Daphnia pulex: one gene and its partner. The protein of the gene in region 2 purifies or fractionates together with the protein of the main gene of each other region. This does not show direct contact. Links are inferred from orthologs where the notes say so. Each region holds a gene or a part of one and is shown on either strand. Other genes may lie near its edges. The genes, in order: neurexin-4-like and contactin-like.

Region 1 (4,491 bases), on a different chromosome or scaffold from region 2:
TCTGACACATGTCTTCTGGGTACACGCAAGCAGGCAGCATGGTTTGGAGGTTGGACACTACTCAGACTACGAATCAGTCGCCTGTGGGAAAGTAAGGGAGTCTGCTCTGCTGAGTTAAAGGATTCATCATGGGTAACCCCCATAACATCAATAGCATCGTCCATTCTAATTTAGTTGAAAAAAAAAAAAAACATTTACGTGAGACATTAATTGAGTTTTACAGTTAAAAACTAAATTTTACTTTCTTGTTTGACAAGTCGAACAATACTATCCAAGGACTTGGAAAGCTGTGTTTGAATAAACACACCCACTCCTCCACAGGTTTATAGAGTAGTGTCAGACGGCCCGATGCTTCAATCACACTGACACGATCAGATTATAATACACAATAAAAATATAAAAAGTCATAATGCCGTCTGCTTTCATGATTAGAAAGTAGAACACCAGAGAGCGTAGAGGCGTTCATTGCGTAACCGGAAAAGGAAACCACATGATTCCAAATTTCCAACTCCTCTTTGAATTGGTTTCCCGAATAAAAATAAAAATGAAATCAGTTAACAAAAGAATTCTATTTCCTCGTCATCGACAATGCACAACAACCACATCAAGTCACCTAATGTAATGAAAGAGATAAGAAAAAATGGAATTGGCGATCACAATCAAAGATGGGAGAAAAAGTGAATGTAATAAAAACGTGATGGCTTATAAAATGGGAAAAAACTGCACGTGAGATTCACGGAAAGGGACGGAAAAGGGTCAACCAAGATAACATGTCAGTCATCCAAAAAATCATACTTTCGCTCCAATTGTTGTTTTCTTCTAAATGATACACAGTCTAGATAAAAATTTCCTTCTTTTGTTGAACTTGATGACCTGTAGCTCCTTGCATGACGGCAAAATGCTCATCTGGCGCGTACTCTGCTCCCTTGTCTTCTTGCGTAACATAATCTCCCTTGTGGCGAGACATATAACGTCCGATTAGGATAGCCATACAAACAAGGGCAATGAAGAGGACAGCTAAAATGCCGCCCAAAATAGCGGAATGAGCTGGTGGATAAAACTCTTGTAGTTTGTCCTCATCGACGATGGGAGGAGGTCTCGTCTCTCGTACATCCGGTGGGTTGGTGACAGGTTCAATGCCACAGAAATCCTCTGATATGGAACTGGGTTCCTTCATGATATTTGGAGGAGGATTCTGTTGAAATAGCCACTTGAGTGGATATATGTCATCAAATTCGACACGAGAAATACAGCCGATAAAACCTTCGGCCATAGTTTTGTTTCGTCCAAGGTAAAGATGTTGAATGTTGTTAAACTGGGCGTCGGCCGAAGGGTTAATCTTGTAAGTAATTGATCGAGGTTCGTAGCTGTCAACTTCCATTACAACCCGAGTGCCTGATTCTTCCCGTCGAATCCGCACATCGTGAAATTGGCCAGTAGCGAAATTCTGGTCCTCGAAGATAATTTCACGACGTTCAAACCCAAAGTCGAAAACCAGACGCAGATGGCCACTATTTGACACCTGCAATGTGAGATATTCCTTGCTGATGTCAGAATAAAGACCCATGAGGATTCCCTTGGGGTCTGTTGTAGTGAATCCAACACGAATCTTTTCAGACAGCGTCGATTTGTATGATCCAGCAAAATCGTACTGAATCATGTAATTGCTCTGCATATTGACACCAATTTCGTCGGCACAGATGGGACCTGAAAATTAAAAGAAAACCATTAACAATTGTTATAAAACCAAAGAGACCAAAAGAATTTAATTACCTTTGAATGATGTGAATCGACAGTCGCAATGATAGCTGTCGTATTTCTCGTGGCAAGTTCCATTGTTGAGGCACGGATTACTGTCACACTTACCCGTGCACCCGATGCCGATACCGTAAAGACCAGCCAGAGCAGCAGCTCTCATGTCAAGATGACGGCCGTTAACCATTAGGCCACGCATGCAACCAACAAATCCATCGCGGTAATCGACAGTGGCACCCACCACAAGAGGTGAAGTCAAGAGCATAGCCCTAATGGGTCCAGGAGGTTCTCGAATTTGCGACTGGTTAGAAAAAAAAATACTTTAATGCAATTTCACACTATTTTTTTTTACAATAAACGTGATGAAATACCTTTAAAGCTCCATCAACAATCATACGAGCTTCCTTGCGATTACGCTCGATAGAAACAGAGTGCCACTGATTATCGCTCAACTTGTTGGATGTTTCGACAGTTACAGTACGAGCTCCAGATCCAGCTTGATACTCAAACTGTAAAGTGTCGCCACCAGAAATGGACACTTTGATGAAATCGCTCGGTCCTTTGCTATGGATCAACACAGCATTTTGAACTGTGGTCTTGAATTCAAAAGTCAAGTCACCACTGTGACCCATATCGAAGGTGGGGAAATCGATGGTGGCATCTCCCACACGGAATGTTACCACATTGTCGTACAAGACATCACCTTCGCAAAGAAGAGGGCCCAAAGTGTACTTTCCTTCTTTCTCATCCAAAGGAGTGCCAGTGTCTCCGAAACGCAATTGGCGTACAGGGAGGTATTCCTTGTCTAAAATTTCTCCTTCGTCAGCTGTCCAAGTGTCCAACGCAGCATCGCAGTTACACCATTTGGTGCGATCCACACAAGTTCCGTCGATACCGCATTCGCATTTGCGCGAGCCGGGAAGCGCGCCAGCCCAGTAATCCATTCGCTGATTTTGCCTCGACATCCACCAACTGTAGGGACGGAATTCTTGCGTTTCCGGTGACGGTGAGTTGAGCAAACGCGAACGACGGCATTCATAGCGGAGACGCTGGCGACAGGTGTAGGAACGGTTCATCAAGATCTCCATTTGGTCAACGTCAGCATTGTAGGCAATATCTTGAACGAAGCTACCAGGTGCTTCAAAGCCGTTAACAACCGTTGTTTGATCATTCTTGTGTCCGACGTAGGTGTATGTTCGGCCGTCGCTGAAGAATTCGCAAGTGACAGGGAATGCACGTAGCGGACCACTTCCATCAACATCAATGCTGATATCAACAGGGCTGGCATTGGCTCCGGATTGTCGGAAGCTCTCACAAGAGACAGGATTAGCTGACATGTGGCAAACCGCTCCAGCGTAACCAGTTCCGGCGCAATCGCAATAGAATTCTTCGGATGTTTGCTTGCAGACTCCTCTGTGCTCGCAAGGATTGGGGTTGCAGCGATCAACCATTTGGCAGGCATCGAAGACAATTTCACCCTTACAGCAGAATTCTTCGTCTTTCCAGTTCAGTGGGCTCTTGTAATGTCCGTCAACATTGATTTGGCGCATGCAGCCAATGAAACCAGATGAGCTGGGAACGCCACCACCAATCAAGTAGCTCGATCCTGTGCGGAAAGTCATGAGGCGTACAGTTTTCATTGGGCGGCCATCGACGCTCAACACCATGGAATTAGTTGAAAGTGTCATGATAACTTTGTGCCAACGTCCGTCATTGAGCAGATCCGTTCCGAAGTTGTCGAGGGTAACTTTGGGCACATTTTCGGCAGCAATTTCAACTACAATAGCAAAAGAAAATTAGTTATTACATCTTTTGATTCTACTACAGATATAACAATAGAAAATTACCTTTAATTTTTCCGGTTTCAATAAATAGTTTCACGAATCCAGGAGACGTGAAACGATGGTAAGCAAGAAGTCCATTTTCTTCAAAAGTACGAAAATCTAATGATAAGTTCAGGGAACTAACGCCTTCGTACCCGGGTAATTTGGCATAAGAGTTGGCAGTCAGGAAAGTAATAGGCACGATAGGTTCCTGAGGGCAGGAGCTGAGGGCTTGAACTCGCTGGTATTTGTAATAATCTTCATGCCGATAGTCCTTGACGGCCTGGATTACATTGGTGTAATTCAAATACATGTTCTCAATGCAACCGGTGAAATTCTGAGTCACGACGAGGCCTTCTTGCATATTGGGGACACCGCCAATATAGAAATTATGGTTAAGGTCCAGTTGAGCGTAATCTCCCTTCACTTTTTCTCGGATCATAACGCGGTCGACAGTAAAAATAACTTCGCGTCGGTTACGGAGGATTCTTACATCGTGCCAAAGATTGTCATCGAGTAAGCTGCCAACTGAAAGGCTGGTCAGTAGGCCAGCGCCCAGGTCGATGTTTAGTAGCATTCTATTGTTAACCAGCTGTAAGGCAAAAATATCGCCTTGGCTACCACGACTGTAAATAAGAACTCCATCAGCTCGATTGGTACGGAAGCGAAGTTGAATGCTGTCTCTCCGTGACGTGATGGGGTCATTTTCCAAATTGCGCGTGAGAAGAGCCGTGCCGTTAAAGTAAAGTACGTCAGCAACATAAGGGCAGCCATAAAGTTCCACCCTCATGGAAATACGATCGTTCCATCTTGTTGGATTTATGCGGATGTACTGTGCGACGATGGGCGTTTCGAAACGGTTTCTCCGGATCCCATCTCCGTCCGTGTTACCTTTGAACATCTAGAATAGTAT
Region 2 (4,587 bases):
ACACTCGTATTCTCCAGCTTGACCCAATGTTATGTTATTGATTTCAAGACTGCCTTCTCTTGAGCGGATGTAGTGAGCCGCTTCCAAATTATCGTGAAAGTCGACGGGAGACGAATCAAACCGCAATGTAATTCCATTGTGTTTCCAGATGTAAGCCAAATCAAGGATGCCCTCTGCCGACGCTCGACAACGTAACTGTTCCGTCTGTCCTACTGTGGTGAGGATGCGGTTAGGAGGTTCCTCCACGAATACTGGCCCACGCAAAACAATGACGCGCCCTGTACTAGAATCCGAGCCAAACCTATAGACCACAACAAAAACATGAAAAACAATTGAGATTTAATCTGAAGTTATTATTTTTTCTTACCGATTTTCGGCAGTGCAAGTGAAATTTCCAACGTCTTCCATAGAGACGGGATTGATAAGCAAGTGTCCAGATGGAAGAATAATTCTTCTTCCACCAGAACCAATAGCGAAGCCATCTTTCCTCCACACATATTTCGGTCGAGGTGCAGCTTCCGGGTTGCATGCAATAGTTACGTTTCCTCCGTCAGCAGCATAAATGTCGGATTCCAAAGGCCTTTGAGGAAACAAGGTAGTACGATTAAATAATTATACCAAGATAAAGCTTAAAGAATAAATGAAGAGAGAAGGAAACATACTTTTTAGCAAACGAAGGCTTTATGTCCAAGATTCTCAGCTGGCCGGATGAGTACCTCTCCGCAATTTGATTCGAAGCTTTGCACTGATACATTGCTTGATCACGGTCTGGGTCCAGTTTGCGTATAATCAAAACATTTTCACGGATCTCGAAGCGTTCGCGATCTCCTTGCTCAAGCGAAAGAGGGTCGAGAACCTATGAAACGAATTTAAAAGTCGATATATAACGTTACTGTTTCAGTTTACGCATCAAGTCATTAGAAACCAACCTGTCCGTTTCGTAGCCACAGATAATTGACGTCGGGTATGCCAAATGCTTCACAAGTCCACAACAAATCTTCGCCCCTGTCCATATGCATATCTCCAAGCGGAATTGTAAATACTGGTGTGGCTTGAACGCTAACTGTCACAGACCCTTCAATTGAAACCTTAAAAACCGGAAAATGTTAAATTAAATACAGAAAAGAAATTAAGATTGCGAAATACCTTGTCATTGGTGGCGCGGCAAACATATTCTCCCATATCTTCAACTTTTACTTTGGGTAAAACGAGAATTCGGTTGTAGTTTGTGATGACAACACCCTTAGGTAATGGAGCTCCTTTACGAGTCCAATTGTAATTAGGGACAGGGTAACCAAATGCTACGCATTCAAGTCGAACATCTTCACCAACTCTTGGGGCTTCTGGGAAACTCTTGGGGAAATTGTTTGGGAATTTGAGCTGTTGGTAATTAGGATGCTGGCGAACTTCGACCGAAAAGAAAGGTCCATTACGACCGTTACTGGAAACGGTACTTTGCACATTGCAGGAATAGCGGCCTCGATCGATATTTTCAAGGGATGAAAAATACAAGTTTCCGTCGAAAGAAACAAAAGTTCGTGAATCCTCTTCTACGAAATTGGGGAAAACATCGCGGACCCAATAGTATTGGATATCAGGGAAGTATTGAGGAGGATCACAATAAATCGCTTTTCCCCAATGTTCAAGACCGTTTTCTGATGAACGCTTGAGATTGAATTCTCCAATGAAGCCAAAGGAAAGTTGCACACTCTCGGATACGATAGACCCGTATTGGTTGCTGGCTACGCAATGATATTTTCCTCTGCAAAACAAATTACACAAATATCAATATAATACGACGTGGATAACTAACATTTTAATTTTAAAATTACCTGTCTTTGATTTCCTCTGGATTGGTAATAATTAGCAAACCACCACTGACAGTATGTCGTGGCATTAGAAGCGGATCAATCCGTTTGGAAACAAGCTGGTCGCTTTCAAAATCTTCTTTGTACCATTGGAATTCTGGAGTAGGGTAACCATTTGCTATACAACTAAGGGTAACTTGATTCAATGTCTTCCTTCTGGTCAGATCAAATACCACAGGCACTGGTTGCCGAATAAAGTAAGGCCCACGCGGAATTCTAGTGATATCATTTACAACAATTCCATACTGAAATGTTCTGTCTTCCACATCCAATAAATTCACCTAGCAAGAAGGATATTTATTAATACAAGAAAATTTAGAAATAATTTTTTGTATAAATACCTGATTGACAGGAATTTCACAGATATAAAGCAATGGGTCTTTTCCATCCACACGCAAAAGACCCCACTGTCTAGCTGAGAGTGAATAACCATAAGATAAGAAGTCCTTTTCAAAGACAGTTTCTTGATTAGGTAAGAAGGCTGTATCAAGATTCATCATGGTAGTGCCATCTCCATCGTTGATCCATACACCTGGGCTTTGTTGTCTTCCACTGATGTACCAAATTCTATGGCTGGGGTCATTCTTGTTGAGGTATGTTGTGATAAAACTATGTTCTTCAAGTGTGTTTACACTGGTTAAGTCAGAGTTGAAAGCTCTGCAGTACTGCCTAGCTTCATCTCTAGTTTTGATTGGGCTTCGAATGAATTTGTAACATGACGTGGCGTAGTGCACCCAAGATTTTGGACAGATTGCATCAGGATCATAAGTTTCACTTTTGACATTAGTTTGTCCAAATAAACTGTTGGGCGACGTTAAAAGTTGTGCATTTGATTCCCAAACAAGGAATGTGAAGAGTAACAACGTGACAGGATTCATTGCAGCTATCACTGTTTGAAAAAAAATAATTATGAATTAAAACGATGGCGTTGAATTCAATGAGATTAAATGACTTACCTTTAACCAGAGAAGTTCGAAAACGAAATAAAAAGTAAAACGTTACTTTAAAAATTCATAGTGACAACTGCAAGTTGCCCAACAGGTAAACCAGGTAAACCAAACAACAAACTGCCAAAGCCAACACCCAAAGAAAAAGCTTAGCAGGTGTAGGCGAAGAAGCACATTTCAACCAATTGCAGGTAAGACGCGATGGTTGCCAAATCGCCAAAATAACATCCGTCGTATTCGATGACCGATGATTTAAATTTTTTATTTTATTCATACAATTCTGCAAACCATTTATTCCGTTCGGAGTTGTACAAATAAATTTTGTGTGATTCAAAGTAAATATCAGATTGTGTTGAACTTGAACTTCGATATGAAAATTGAGTTACGGGGAATGGGATACCAAAACTGAAGCTGTCCACTTTGCTTCCGGTCTATACCCGGTGATTTTCTTGAGCTTTAAAAATTCACACAATTACAAAATACATCTGTATTATTTTCACCAGTTAACACGAGTGCAAGTTTCCAGGAACATATGGTGAAATGTTAAAGAGGATCAATGTATGAACGTTTTTGGAAACAAGTATTTTTAGGTAGATCAATTAATTGATCGTCAGTATTAACAAAATTTAACTGAATCACTTGTCAACTATGATCTTGTGAATGCTACGCATATGACTCTGTAAATGAATTTTCTGGCGAAATGACCGGGAACAGAGGTCACATTTAAAAGGTTTCGTTCCCGAATGGATCCTAAAATGGGCAGCTAAATTGCTAGGTGTCGGGAACATTTTACGGCAGACTTGACAGCTGTAACGTTCTTTATGATTACGCTTAGAACTCATGCTGTTTGCACGCATGTTTTCATTCGGCCTTTTTGTCTTCACTGTATGCTTAGAACTACTGCAGTTACCATTTTTACTAGTGCTTAAGCTTAAGTTGGTTGACAAAATATCTTCATCCTCATCCTCTTCTTCGTCCTCATCGCAACGTAGACCAACGGAATTCCTACTAAAATTAGGGTCGTTGTTACTCAGTCCGCCATGCGAATTAGAGAAACCTTGAAGGCGTTGAATTTCAACCACAGCTTCTGCGCTGTGTTTCCCACTAAAATTCCATGTTTTTTTCTCAAGAGTTGTCGAACTGTGAACTGTTGGAGCTCGTTCAGTTGAGGCCAAGGCGTTCGTTACTATGGAGTAACTTTGCTGTATACGAGACTCTTGAAAAACGGCCTCCATCCGGATGTCTGTAACTCCTGATGATCCGCTGATGGCTTGATGTGTGTTTGCGTCCCTACCTACAATCATTTCTGAATAGAAAAACAGTCAGTAAATATCATAAACAGAATAAAAATTCCTCAAGAGTATTGACAAGCAAGCTCCACAATTAAATCCTTAGAGTAGAACCCCGCTAAAAAAGGCACCCCGCAAAGGGATGAGATTATAAGAGAACCCCCCAAAATTGTTGTGACGTCAACTGAATCAGTCTTGACGTCACATCAAAAGAAAAAATGGAGCCAATTGGGCATCAATCAAGTCTAGACGGAAATACAATAATAAATACCCTGCTTGTTGTCATTAGTTTTTGGCCGCTTTGGCCTTCCAGTCGAATCATCCGAGGTCCCGGGCGTCTCTGTTGCTGCACGTTTCCTTTTGGCATTTCGATTTTCTTTTACAATTGATTACACAATTACACGAGGTTATTAGATCTTATATAATAGCAAAAGAGACGTTTGAATCTAAACGGATGTACATACCTGTTCCGGCGGAATTGAA

What was found.
Region 1: the proteins of contactin-like (region 2) and neurexin-4-like purify together in Drosophila melanogaster (affinity purification with western blotting; 4 studies listed by BioGRID). This does not show direct contact. The link is inferred for Daphnia pulex from reciprocal best matches to the Drosophila melanogaster genes Cont and Nrx-IV.

Annotation. Positions count from the first base shown.
Region 1 is NC_060021.1:7,495,442-7,499,932, reverse strand, and holds the end of neurexin-4-like, read right to left. Parts: intron 4,480-4,491; coding exon 3,603-4,479; intron 3,533-3,602; coding exon 2,127-3,532; intron 2,057-2,126; coding exon 1,774-2,056; intron 1,708-1,773; coding exon 836-1,707; 3' UTR 551-835; downstream 1-550. Other genes in the region: solute carrier family 12 member 9-like, read right to left, coding at 1-164. UniProt on the Drosophila melanogaster protein: Seems to play a role in the formation and function of septate junctions.
Region 2 is NC_060028.1:7,915,785-7,920,371, forward strand, and holds the start of contactin-like, read right to left. Parts: upstream 2,967-4,587; 5' UTR 2,825-2,966; exon of another isoform or gene 2,758-2,824; 5' UTR 2,747-2,757; coding exon 2,210-2,746; intron 2,150-2,209; coding exon 1,833-2,149; intron 1,763-1,832; coding exon 1,147-1,762; intron 1,089-1,146; coding exon 930-1,088; intron 857-929; coding exon 663-856; intron 581-662; coding exon 368-580; intron 302-367; coding exon 1-301. Other genes in the region: myoneurin-like, read right to left, coding at 3,451-4,121, 4,376-4,480, 4,569-4,587. UniProt on the Drosophila melanogaster protein: Required for organization of septate junctions and paracellular barrier functions.